Linked DNA regions of Macaca fascicularis. The protein of the gene in region 1 interacts with the protein of each later gene in a pairwise test. Links are inferred from orthologs where the notes say so. Each region holds a gene or a part of one and is shown on either strand. Other genes may lie near its edges.

What was found. The genes of interacting proteins can lie anywhere in the genome.
Region 2: the proteins of NDEL1 (region 1) and protein AF-10 interact in a two-hybrid assay, tested with the Homo sapiens proteins (2 studies listed by BioGRID and IntAct). The link is inferred for Macaca fascicularis from reciprocal best matches to the Homo sapiens genes NDEL1 and MLLT10.

The regions. Positions count from the first base shown.
Region 1 is NC_088390.1:8,522,158-8,528,343, reverse strand, and holds part of NDEL1 (nuclear distribution protein nudE-like 1), read right to left. Parts: intron 5,434-6,186; coding exon 5,297-5,433; intron 3,267-5,296; coding exon 3,093-3,266; intron 1-3,092. UniProt on the Homo sapiens protein: Required for organization of the cellular microtubule array and microtubule anchoring at the centrosome. May regulate microtubule organization at least in part by targeting the microtubule severing protein KATNA1 to the centrosome.
Region 2 is NC_088383.1:22,546,357-22,552,542, reverse strand, and holds part of protein AF-10, read right to left. Parts: intron 5,129-6,186; coding exon 4,940-5,128; intron 4,522-4,939; coding exon 4,433-4,521; intron 4,303-4,432; coding exon 3,941-4,302; intron 2,905-3,940; coding exon 2,808-2,904; intron 1,590-2,807; exon of another isoform or gene 1,502-1,589; intron 1-1,501. UniProt on the Homo sapiens protein: Probably involved in transcriptional regulation. In vitro or as fusion protein with KMT2A/MLL1 has transactivation activity. Binds to cruciform DNA.

The DNA.
Region 1 (6,186 bases):
CTTTTCTCGGCCGTTCTTGCACATTTACTATTCCAGAATAATTTTAATATCAACATACCAATTTTCAAAATCCTGTTAGGCTTTTTATTAGAAGTTGAAATTATAGATTGACTTGGGGAGAATGGTTATTGTAAGAAAATTCAGTCTTCCCATTCAGAATCATGGTATTTACCATGATATTTACCCACATCTTCCACACTCAGTAAGGTTTTCAGTCATGCACATTTCTTAATTTTTAAGACATAATATGACATCATGATTAAGGGTTCTTGAGCTGAACTACTGTATACAAATCCAGTTCAGCCACTGGGTAAGTTACCCATATGTAAAAGGGGATAAATAACAACTACCTCATCATAAAGTTGTTGTGAAGTTTAAATTAGTTAACGTACTTTAAAAATGCACATAGTAAGTACTCAATAAAGGTTAGCTATTATTTTTTATGTTTCTTTTCCACAGAGTGCTAATCAGCAACGAGAATACTTGAGTGGGGTTTTTGTTGTTTCTTATCCTTCTTCTCCTCTAGAATGCAATCTCATTGCAGGTAGGGGCTTTGTCTTACCACTGCGCTCCCAGCATCTAGAAAAATGCATGACATATAATAGGTGCTCGATGTGCTATAAAACACTGCTGTACTGTTCTTGGCAGGGATTTCTAGATCTCATTTTTCCCTATTCGAGTTTTATATTTTAGGTGTTATTAAACCTGTGCTTTTATGGTAAGGTGCATTAAATGCTTTTTAGAAACAAACATTGTAAGCCAGGCACAGTGGCTCACACCTGTAATCTCAGCACTTTGGGAGGCCGAGGTGGGTGGATCACCCGAGGTCAGGACTTTGAGACTGGCCTGACCAACACAGTGAAACCCCATCTCCACTAAAAATACAAAATTAGCTGGGTGTGGTGGAGGGTGCCTGTAATCCCAGCTACTTGGGAGGCCGAGGCAGGAAAATCGCTTGAACCCAGGAGGTGGAGGTTGCAATGAGCTGAGATCGCACCATTGTACTCTAGCCTGGGCAAAAAAAAGCAAAACTCCATCTCAAGAAAAAAAAAAAAGGAAAAGAAACATTGTAAAAAATAAAATACAATTAAAGACAGACCACTTCAGAAAGATCAGCTCTAAGATCTCACCGATTTCTCTGACCACCTGCTGCTGCTCACAATTCTGTGCTTTTTTTTTTTGAGACAGAGTCTTGCTCTGTCGCCCAGGCTGGAGTGCAGTGGCGCAATCTTGGCTCATTGCAAGCTCCGCCTCCCAGGTTCACGCCATTCTCCTGCCTCAGCCTCCCGAGCAGCTGGGACTACAAACTCCCGCCACCACGGCCGGCTAATGTTTTGTATTTTTAGTAGAGACGGGGTTTCACCGTGTTAGCCAGGATGGTCTCGATCTCCTGACCTAGTGATCCGTCCACCTCAGCCTCCCAAAGTGCTGGAATTATAGGCGTGAGCCACTGCGCCCTACCAATTCCGTGCTTTCTTGTAATGAAATTGCAGTGATCTAGTACACAGCAGCTTTTAGGTTAGCCTGTGAAAATTCATGCTATTGGTTCCAGACTAAAAAGATATCTATTAAGCAAATACTACTGCCATACAGTTGGCACATCTCATGCTGTGTCAGAGTAGGCTCCATGTCCTGTTGACTCCCCAAGTCCCTGAACGAAAATTCTTAACGGGCTATTAAAAAAAAATGTGCACCACCTGTGGTGTCACCTCAACTGAGGCTTTTCACTATTCTGATGAGTCTTCAACTAAAGGATTTTCAGATCTGCATAATTCTAATCAGTAATATAAAACTAAAACTGTTAGTCCTCAGATGTAATTGGGAAATCTTCGAATACACAAGTGGCTAGTCTGAAAAACTGACCATGAGGGCTCCTGGTGACTGCTAATAATCTACTGCCTGCCCTTTGTCCTCAGCAGTAAACCTGGCACATACTGGTGCAATCAGTAACACCTTATGACCATATAGCACCTGCACATACTTTATCTGATATCATCTCGTAACAAGGCAAAGACAAGTTGAATTATCTACTCAAGGGCTACTGAGCACATGAAATGTGGTTAATGTGACCAAGAAACTTAATTTTATATTTTATTTCATTTTAATATACATTTAAATAGCCACATGGGCTGGTGATAATATACTGAGTAGCACAGACATACAGAGCTCACTGTACTAGTTGCCCACACAGCATTCTGAAAGATAAAATCCCATATTTTAAAAAGGGTGGGATGACAGCTTCAATATAGGGTGGAAAAAAAAAAAGCATGGGGGGATGAGAGTAGCCGAAATATGAACTGCGAGCTGCAAAATCTAAACAAATCTCAATTGAGAGCTTTAGGATTCTATTGTAAGGTTCTATCTAGTGGCTACTAGATGGTTTTTCTGCTTATCTGGATTTAAAAAAACGCACTGGCGATGGCAATGTGAGTATTCTGTATGTGCAAATCATCAATTACTCCGAATGATGCTTTTGAAAATGGCAGCTCCTGAAGCATGTAACAGAATGGGCATGTCTACCCAAGCTGGTCTTACATGAGTCTGAAAGGCAACTTAATGATTCTCTGTACATTCTATGTAGAAAGGCCTCAGGTCTCTCAGGACATGGAAAGTGGCAAAAGGAAGAAATAAAACTGTATTTAAATATGATCCCCAAATCTGTATGTGACAAAGAGATGTGCACAAACACACACAAGCACACAATAGAAAAAAAAACTCAAAATGTTAATGGTGGATGCCTGTAAGTGGTAAGATAACATGATTTTTATTTTCTTTTTTTTTTCTGTGTTTTTAAAATTTTCTACCTAAACGTACTGCTATAATCACAAAATCTATTGCTATCATCAAAAAATAAATTTTCCCTAAAAACCTTTAACTTTTAAAAATCTCATCTTAAATGTAGCCATCATTTCACTGTTTCCTATGTATGAGTGGCCTAGGAAAACAATTCCTTCTTCTGTTTCACATAGCACTAGACTTCACCAACTTTTAAACTAAAATTACTCTTTAAACCTTAGCAACCGCCTTCAGCAACAAACCCCCTTAAGCTGATCATCTAACACATGGCCTCAAAAAGAAAAGACATTACAAACCTTTCGGTGATGGAAAAGTGTTCTCCGTTCCTTTGCCAACGGGGGTAGCTGGCAAAGAGAGTGAAGCTTGGACGGCGGAGTCCATCTTTTCACAGTCCAGAGTTGGAGAGCTAGGAGCCGACTTTCTAGTTACTTCCTGTTGTCTTTCCCGAACTGCTAGTTCTTGCCTTAAATCTGTAAAATATTCCAAACAAGGGCAGGAATATTCACTAGAGGGAGCAAATATATCAAGAAAAGTGACATCTAAAATGTCATAAAGATCTTCTTCCTAAATTACTATTTCTCAAAAACGAATTTCCTATTTAATTATTAACAACTTTATTTCTAGGGGGAATAAAAATGGCAAAACTACTGTCTAAATGATCTTTTAGAATTTAAAAATGTTACAATCTGAGAGAAATTACTTATGCTCGTATGCAAAAAGTAACAGTGCAGAGTCCACAGTACAATTCACACAAAAGTAAATATTCTTCCCAACTCATTTGCTTTTATTTTCAAATGCTGTAGTTTTGGGGTTATTGCAAAATCAACTAAGTGCATTTTTGTAATTTTAAATGAGTTGGCATTAACTATTATTACTATGAAATATTTAGTTTTAGAAAAGTATTCGGAGTGGTTTAAATATTTGTCATTCTTCTTGCTCTGTCGCCCAGGCTACAGTGCAGTGACACAATCTCGGCTCACTGCAACCTCCACCTCCTGGGTTGAAGAGATTCTCCTGCCTCAGCCTCCCAAGTAACTGGGATTACAGGGGCACACCACCACACCTGGCTAATTTTTTTTCTATTTTTAGTAGAGACAGGGTTTCACTATGTTGGTCAGGCTGGTCTCGAACTCCTAACCTCAAATGATCTGCCAGCCTCAGTCTCCCAAAGTTCTGGGATTACAGGCGTGAGCCATCACACCCAGCCAATATCAAGTTTTTAACCCAAAATTAATGTTATCTTTTCCGATTATGCAATTTAACCTACAGAATATTTGCTTATGTTAAAAAAGGAACAAAGTCATCCCCCTTTTGGGCATGTATCCAAAAGAATTCAAAACAGGATCTCAAAGAGGTATTTGCACACCCATGTTCCCAGCGGCATCATTTGCAATAGCAAGAGATGGGAGCAACTCGATGTCCACCCACAGATGAACAGATAAAGAAAATGAATACATACAATGGAATATTATTCAGCCTTAAAGAAGGAAATTTTGTCACATACTACACATGGATTAACCTTGAGGACATTATGCTAAGTAAAATAAACCAGTCACAAATACAGTATAATTTCCCTTACATGAGGTATCATAGAAAGTAGAACTGTGGTTGCCAGGGGCTGAAGGGAAGGGAAAATGGGTAGTCGCTATTCAAAAGGTATAGTTTCAGTTTTGCAAGATGAAAAACTTCTAAAAATTTGTTTACACAACAATTTGACTATACTTAACACTACTGGAGTGTACACTTTAAAATGGTTAAGAAGCCAGGCACAGTGGCTCACACCTATAATCCCAACATTTTGGGAGACAGAACCAGAAGGATCACTTAAGGCCAAGGATTCAAGACCAGCCTGACCAACATACTGAGACCATCTCCACAAAAAAAAATTTTTTTACTTAGCCAGATGGAGCCAGGCGTGGTGGCTCACGTCTGTAATCCCAGCACTTTGGGAGGCCAAGGTGGCCAGATCACGAGGTCAGGAGTTCGAGACCAGCCTGACCAACATGGTGAAACCCCATCTCTACTAAAAATACAAAAATCAGCTGGGTGTGGTGGTGGGCACTTGTAATCCTAGCTACTCAAGAGGCTGAGGTAGGAGAATCATTTGAACCTGGGAGGCGGAGTTTGCAGTGAGCCAAGAATGCACCATTGCACTCCAGCCTGGGCGAAAGTGTGAGACTATGCCTCAAAAAAAAGTTGACTCTAAGCTTCTTCTGGCATAGGGACAGTAAGGTAAGGGAGGACAAACACAGTTGTCCCTCAGTATACATGGGGATTGGTTCCAGGACCCCCACCTACACCAAAATTGGCGCATACTGAAGTCCCACAGTCGGCCCGTATATACGAAAAGCCCGCCCTCCATATACAGGGTTTTGAAGGGCATGAATACTGTATTTTCAATCCGTGTTTGGTTGAAAAAAATCAGAGTATAAGTGGACACATACAATTCAAACCCATATTGTTCAAGGGTCAATTGTATTCTTTAAGTCATAAATTTTACCTCTTGCTTCATCCTTTAACCTCTGTACAGAGACCAACAAAGATTCCTTTTCATCAAGTTCACTTTCTAAAAATGCATTTCGTTCAATGGCCTGATTTAGCCTTTGTTCAAAGTCTTCCAGTGAAACTATTGTTGCCCTAAAAAGAAAAATTAGAGTACATGAATTAAATAAATAACATGTGCAAACAGATAGTACAAAAGGAAACTGTCAGTTTATCTCATGACATTTCCTGACCTAGCCGGCCTGGTCCCATTCAAAGAAGATGATCCTGCCCCTTCTTGACCACTGCTGGCACTTAGTGTCTCTACCATTTGGGTAATCTATGCAATATATTCTCTTAAATTCCCACCTATTCCTTAATGTTCCCTACGGAAAGGCTGTTTGTTACACTATTTATATCTCCACTGGGTTTTGAACACAATACAATTAAGTTTATACATTTTCAGAAAGAAAACTTTTCAAAACTTGTAATATATGTAAGAGTTTGTTTAAAACATTAAGTCCCAAGTCAGGGAACCTAAGGCCTATTCACGCTGACTTCCTAGAACTAAATCAAAAGGAAAACTCCAACTTTCCACACCTAAGTCACGAAAGGACCAGAGGCCATTCCCTTTCCTTGCTGCAACCACTCAGACATTTGCACAGGGTGTCCCTTTGTAACTTCAACTTCACTTCAGCCGCTGACTGGTTGCCCTCCGCAACCAATCTGGCTGCTGCCTCCTTTATGCCCTGGAGCAGCCTGCCCACTTTTTTTTACCTAGGGTATTATCATAGTGAATGTACATATCTGTCACCCCCAAAGGTAGTGACCAGACTAGCTCCGCATCTGCAAGTTTAGCACCATGTCAGTCACTTAAGACTTACTGGATAAATATTAAGGAAGGAAATA
Region 2 (6,186 bases), on another chromosome or scaffold:
CCCATGACTGTCCACAGGGCCAGGCCTGCCCTGCACCTGAGCCACAACCCCACTTGGGTCTCGGTCCATACTTTCTCCCCTTCTCCAAGTTCTCTATTTCCCATCTCCCCTCTCATCTAACCGTTAACACCCATCTCCCTCCCTTTACTTCTTTTTTTTTTTAGACGGAGTCTGGCTCTGTCGCCCAGGCTGGAGTGCAGTGGCCAGATCTCAGCTCACTGCAAGCTCCGCCTCCCAGGTTTACACCATTCTCCTGCCTCAGCCTCCCGAGTAGCTGGGACTAGGCACCCGCCACCTCGCCCGGCTAGTTTTTTGTATTTATTTTAGTAGAGACGGGGTTTCACCATGTTAGCCAGGATGGTCTCGATCTCCTGACCTCGTGATCCGCCCGTCTCAGCCTCCCAAAGTGCTGGGATTACAGGCTTGAGCCACCGCGCCCGGCCCCTCCCTTTACTTCTAATTAAGAAAATCAGAAGCATTGAAAGTGGGATTGCTTCAACCCTCCACATAAAACCCACCTCCAGTTGTTCTGCCTGCCCTGCTGGTGCAGTGAAATACTGTTCTCATCTCCTCCTCTGCTAGCACCTTTCTTCTCTCCTATGCCAGAAATGTCCCATCAGCATACACACATGCTGTCACATTCAAAATGAGTCAAAACTGCCCCGTGGTACTACCACATCTGCCTCCTTCTTCCCTTTCCTCTACTTTCCAAAGTGACATGTCTTAAGGTGCCCATATGCTATCTTTACTTCCTCTCCCTCCCATTTTCTTTTGAACCATTTACGAGGTTTTTACTTTTATCACACCCAAACTGTAAAAAGTCTCTAGACAACCTTTAAGAAACAGTTCCTGCCACCCAGGCTGAGGTGCAGTGGCATGATTACAGCTCACTGCAGCCTCAACCTCCTGGGCTCCAGTGATCCTCCCACCTCAGCCCCCCAGTTAACTGGTATCACAGGTATGCACCACCACGCCCGGTTGGTCAATTCTTTCTTACCCTACCACAGAAGCATTTTACACAGTTGACTCCTCCCTTTCTGGAAACATTTCCTTCACCTGGCCCCTAAGATGCCACAGTGTCCTTGTCTAGGCTCACTGGCCACTGTTTCTCAATAGCCTTTCTTTACTGGCTTATTCTTTTCTAGGGTGTCCAGGACTCAATCTTCATGCTCTAGGAGTCTGCATCAAATCTCATGGCTCTCATCACCTGTGCAGCACTAACCCCAGATTTCTATCTCTAACTGCATCTTTGCCTGGGACTCCAGACACCTACTATGCAACTGTCTTATCTCCACTTGACTTGCACATCTAAAGGGATTTCAAACTTAGTGTGTCCATGACACCTATTTTTCTCTCCAAAACTGGCTGGATTCTGTTCTTCCACATCTCAGTAAAAGTCACTATCCAACCATTCAGAATTCTTCTTTCTCTTGTATGTCCAGCAAACAAGTCTTGTTGGTTCTATCTTCAAAACATCTGGGCTAGGCACAGTGGCTCACACCTGTAATTCCAGCACTCTGGAAGGCTAAGGGCAGATCACTTGAGGTCATGAGTTCAAGACCAGCCTGGGCAACATGGTGAAACCCTGTCTACAAAAAAAAAAAAAAAAAATTAGCCAGGCATGGTGGGACATGCCTGTAGTCTCAGCTACTCAGGAGGCTGAGGCAGGATAATCACTTGAGCCCAGGAGATGGAGGTTGCAGGGAGCCCAGATTGTGCCACGGCATTCCAGCCTGGGTGACAGAGCAAAACTCCATCTCAAAAATATAACTATATATACCACAATTCCAGGCAGTTTTCAATACATAGCCCATACTATTTTAACACCTACGTCTCCTGCCTGGGTCACTCCCTCCCTGTTTCCACTTTTGCCTGTCTTCACTCCCCCACACCCTATAATACACACAGACTATTCTTCATATAGCAGCAAAACGAATCCTTCAAAATGTAAATCATTATTTCACTATTCTGTTCAAAACCCTCCAATTCTTAATCCTGAAAAAAATGGAGAATGAAATAAGATAAACAAAACTGAGACTGTCAGTGCCGGGTGAGAGGAGGAGGACTACACAGGTCTTCAGGGTGCTCTCCGCTCTACTTTTGGTACACTTGAAATTCTCCGTAATAAATTTTTTAAAAAATCGCCAGTGGCTTTTCATCGTATTCAAGATGAAGTCCAAATTTCTTGCCACAGCCAAGAAAGGTTGTATGCAATCATCTGAGACTCCCTGCTTGGCTCTGACCTCTCCCACCCTTACCACACTGCTGCTGCCTCCTCTTCCACACACAAGCATGCCCAGGCCTTTGACAGCAGTTGCCCCTTTACCTCCAACATGCTTTCTCTCTATGGCGTACTCCCTGAGCTCTTAGGTCAGTCTGTGCTCAAAAGTCACCCCTTGCAGAGGCAGGGCCATCCTATATAAAATGGTCCTCGGTTCCCTATGCTCTTCCCCCCTTATTCCACTTCCTTGTTCTCCTCAGCATTTATCAGAACCAAAAAGCGTTCATCGTGTCCATCCATCTCTTGTATCAAAATGAAGCTCCGGGAAAACACACACCACATCTCATTCGGCACTGTGTTACCAGAGCCTATGGAAGCACCATGCCACGTGCCCTGTCACTTTTAAGTTCAGGAGTGAATGTGACATCACTGCAGGTATCACAGCCTGTATACCACATGGCAAGAAAAACTTTTTGGAGTATGCATTCAATAATGTTATTTAACAAGGAGAAATCTATACCCACACTGAATATTACAGCTTAGAACACATGCTCCTAATAAAATATTATCAAAAGAAAGAACTTACTGGTGTGAGCTGTTGAGAATTTAACAACTGCTGAAACTGCTGTTGATGAATAAGTAATTGTCTTTGCTGGTCAGAAAGTAATCCTAGTCCTGAGGCACTGAAAAATGATTACAATTCTTACTTTTTACTACACACCTCTAACGCATTTTTAGAAGTTTAAACATGAAAGACAACTTTTCAATTTGATGTTTAATAACTTAAGTACAATTTTTAATCCAAACACTTTGAAAACAATTATGTACAAATTATGTGTGTGTGTGTATATATATATATGTATGTGTACAGCTAAACAAGAATTCACATTGTCAAGAAATCTTTTTATTATAAAACAAATAGGCCCTACCTTATTTTATGGAATAGAAATTTACATGTGTTTCTAACAGGCATATGTAATAATTTATCTTTAATTATTCAAAGATAATTTAACTCACACTAAGTAAACACATATTTGAAACAAAGAATCCAAACATACTACTGATTTGACTTATCCTTTTCTAATGGTCCCAATGGTAAAACTAAACACCAATGAAGAGAGCTAGAGGAAACAGCTTTCTAGTACCCACTGCAAATCCATTTAAAAGTATTTATTCCCCCAAAAGTATGTTTAATAACAACATAGTATGTTTAATAACAACATAGCTTTAGTCCCCTAGTTTTGAACAAGCATTCAAATGTAGTTCCAGTACAGTGAAACCAATGAGTCTCACTTCCTGGGAATTCAGATAAATAAATGACCTTTATCCTATACCAAAATCTTTGATTAGAATATTAAAAATATTACATACATTTTAAGAAACTAATATTCATGTTATCTCCACTATATTACCTTTCTTCAGAATTTGATACAGGAATTCAATATACAAATAAGAAAAACTATTATTTAAAAATAGACATCACAGATTAAGACTAATTTTCAGCACAAAACATATTTAATGCTGTCACTATAAGTGAATTCATTTAAATCTAAGTTTCAAAAATAAATGTACTCTGTGTATAATATACTTAAAATTTTTGGCAGACTTCTTAAGGTATATCTACAAAGAAACACATTGAAAGCCCCAATCTAAGGCATAGACAACACTGGTACTCCGTTAGTTACACTAAAAAACCCAAAACATACTTAAGTTTCTTACCTGTTAGTCAGTGTAGCTGGCATTGGATGTGTTGCATTAGGTGGTACAGTTGTGTGAGTGAGAGGGGTAGGGTTCTGGGACATTGTGACAGGAGTCTGCATAACCCCATTTAAAGCTCCTACAATGCCATTAATTGCCAGTTGGTTACCTGGCAAAGCTCCAATTATTCCACCCACTGCAGACACGGCAGGAATGGTGGAAGTTACAGGCTGCATTCCACTAGCTAGTGCCCCCACTGTCACACCATTGACCTGCTGAACTCCACTCACTCCTGAGCCTTGTTGAGCCGGACTCTGCCCAGCAGGAGGTGGGGTAGAAAGAGCTGATGAGCTGCTGGTGCTTTGTCCACTGGAGGTTAAGTCCTAGCGTAAGAAGAGAAACTAAATTGAAAGAACACAGCAAAACTGTTTAAAATAATTTAAAACCATTTGACATAATATACTATTATTTACAAGTAAATCACACAGATGAAAATAACCACACAAAAATTACCTGATTTAATACAGGAAGAGAATTATCAGGTAAAAAGCTGTTTCCTATATGAGGGCTCTTACTGCTGTTCAAGGAATCAGTAGTAGGAGCTAGAATAATAAAAGACAAAAAGAAACCTATTTACCCTATTAAATTACATTATGTGTAAGATTAAAGGCTTATTTAAAAGCTTATGCTGAAGCCCATATCAAAACCACTTAAATATCAAGTCTTGCTATTCCTAACTGACTTAAACAGGAAAAAAAATCTATATTGAATACCATCACTTTAAATCAATAATGAGATCATTAGACATTTAAGTAAATGTTACCATTATATTATGGACTAAGGAAGTTAGAGTAAATTCAAGTTGATCACTTAACAGGATTCTTTATGCCCTTGAAAAACGACCTATCATTCCTTTTCTACATCTTCATATAACTGGTGACCAATTATTACTCACTTATAATACAAATAACATTGAAAGCCTATTTTCTTTACATACAAAATAAATATTTTCACACTTACCAGTCTGTGCTGAAAATGTGTGTATTTGATGAGACGGACTAGGATTTGCTGTTATTGTTGGAAAAGGCACTGAAAGCTGTGCATTCAATAACTGAAGCCGTTCCTTTTTGGCAGTCAAGTTTTTAATTTGTTCCTCTAATCTTCGGTTTTCAACTTGAAGTTGGTGTAATGACTTCAGCATTCCTAAAACTAGCACACATTTGGATAGTTTTTAATAACAAGTACACACATGAGACTAAGTATTTTACACAGTGCCAGTAACCTTAGAAATAAGTTACAATAGAACAGTAGAAATTCTGTAAAGTGTTTCTAAATGATTAAGTTTTGTTCCTAAATTTGTATGTGGGATTACATTTCCTATCTATGTATTTTTATAAGCACAAAGGCAAAGTGTTCCTGGATGTACCTTCTGGAAACTTTGTTGCCACATACCAAAACACACACACCAGCATCAGGTAATTTTCCATTCTCAGTGAAAAGTGATGACATTTTATTTTTGTCAAAATAAAAGCCTATTAAAAATTCAAGAGCCTGTCACTATTTTTCATTGAAGTCATATATAGAATGGTTAAGGATCGCACCAATACCCTTTACCAAAATAACAAGCACATGTTTTTGTTTGTTGTTCCATTTAAACGAAGTGCTGCCATCAGACTTCCTGGCAGGAAGCCCCTAATCCCAGCTGCTCAGCATGTTGCTCTGCAGGTCACCCAGCAGGGAGCGCTATGTGTGCGCCCAGCCACGTCTCCAGTCCTGGAGAAAGGCGCATCCCCTGTGAACAGGCTGGCTTTTGGTCTGGCCCCCATCACCTCAGGTACTTCAATTCCTTCCACAACTCGGACCTCCCAACTAACAACACAGAGTGTTACTGTTAAGATTTTTGAAGTGTCCATCACATACTAAAAAGTTGTATTTGTTTAACATGACCTCAGGGCCTTCAGAAGATACAACTCCTCTGGTACAGACACATCTGGCCATTTCCCAAGGATTTAGCTTTTATCCCTTCCCTCCAAGATCCCACAAAGAGATCTTAGTGGGCCCAAATGAGATGCAATAAGACTAAGCTAAACCTATCCTCCAGCTATCGTGTTTAAAGGATTAGCCCGGCATGAAATTTCCTCACAATTACCATTTTTTGTCAGGTTACCATTCACAAAATACCAATTTATGGCACTTAGCCAACAATAAGCAAAATGTTTCAATAAAATGAAGCAGCAAAAGTTTATACTCCAAAATGACGAAAATCA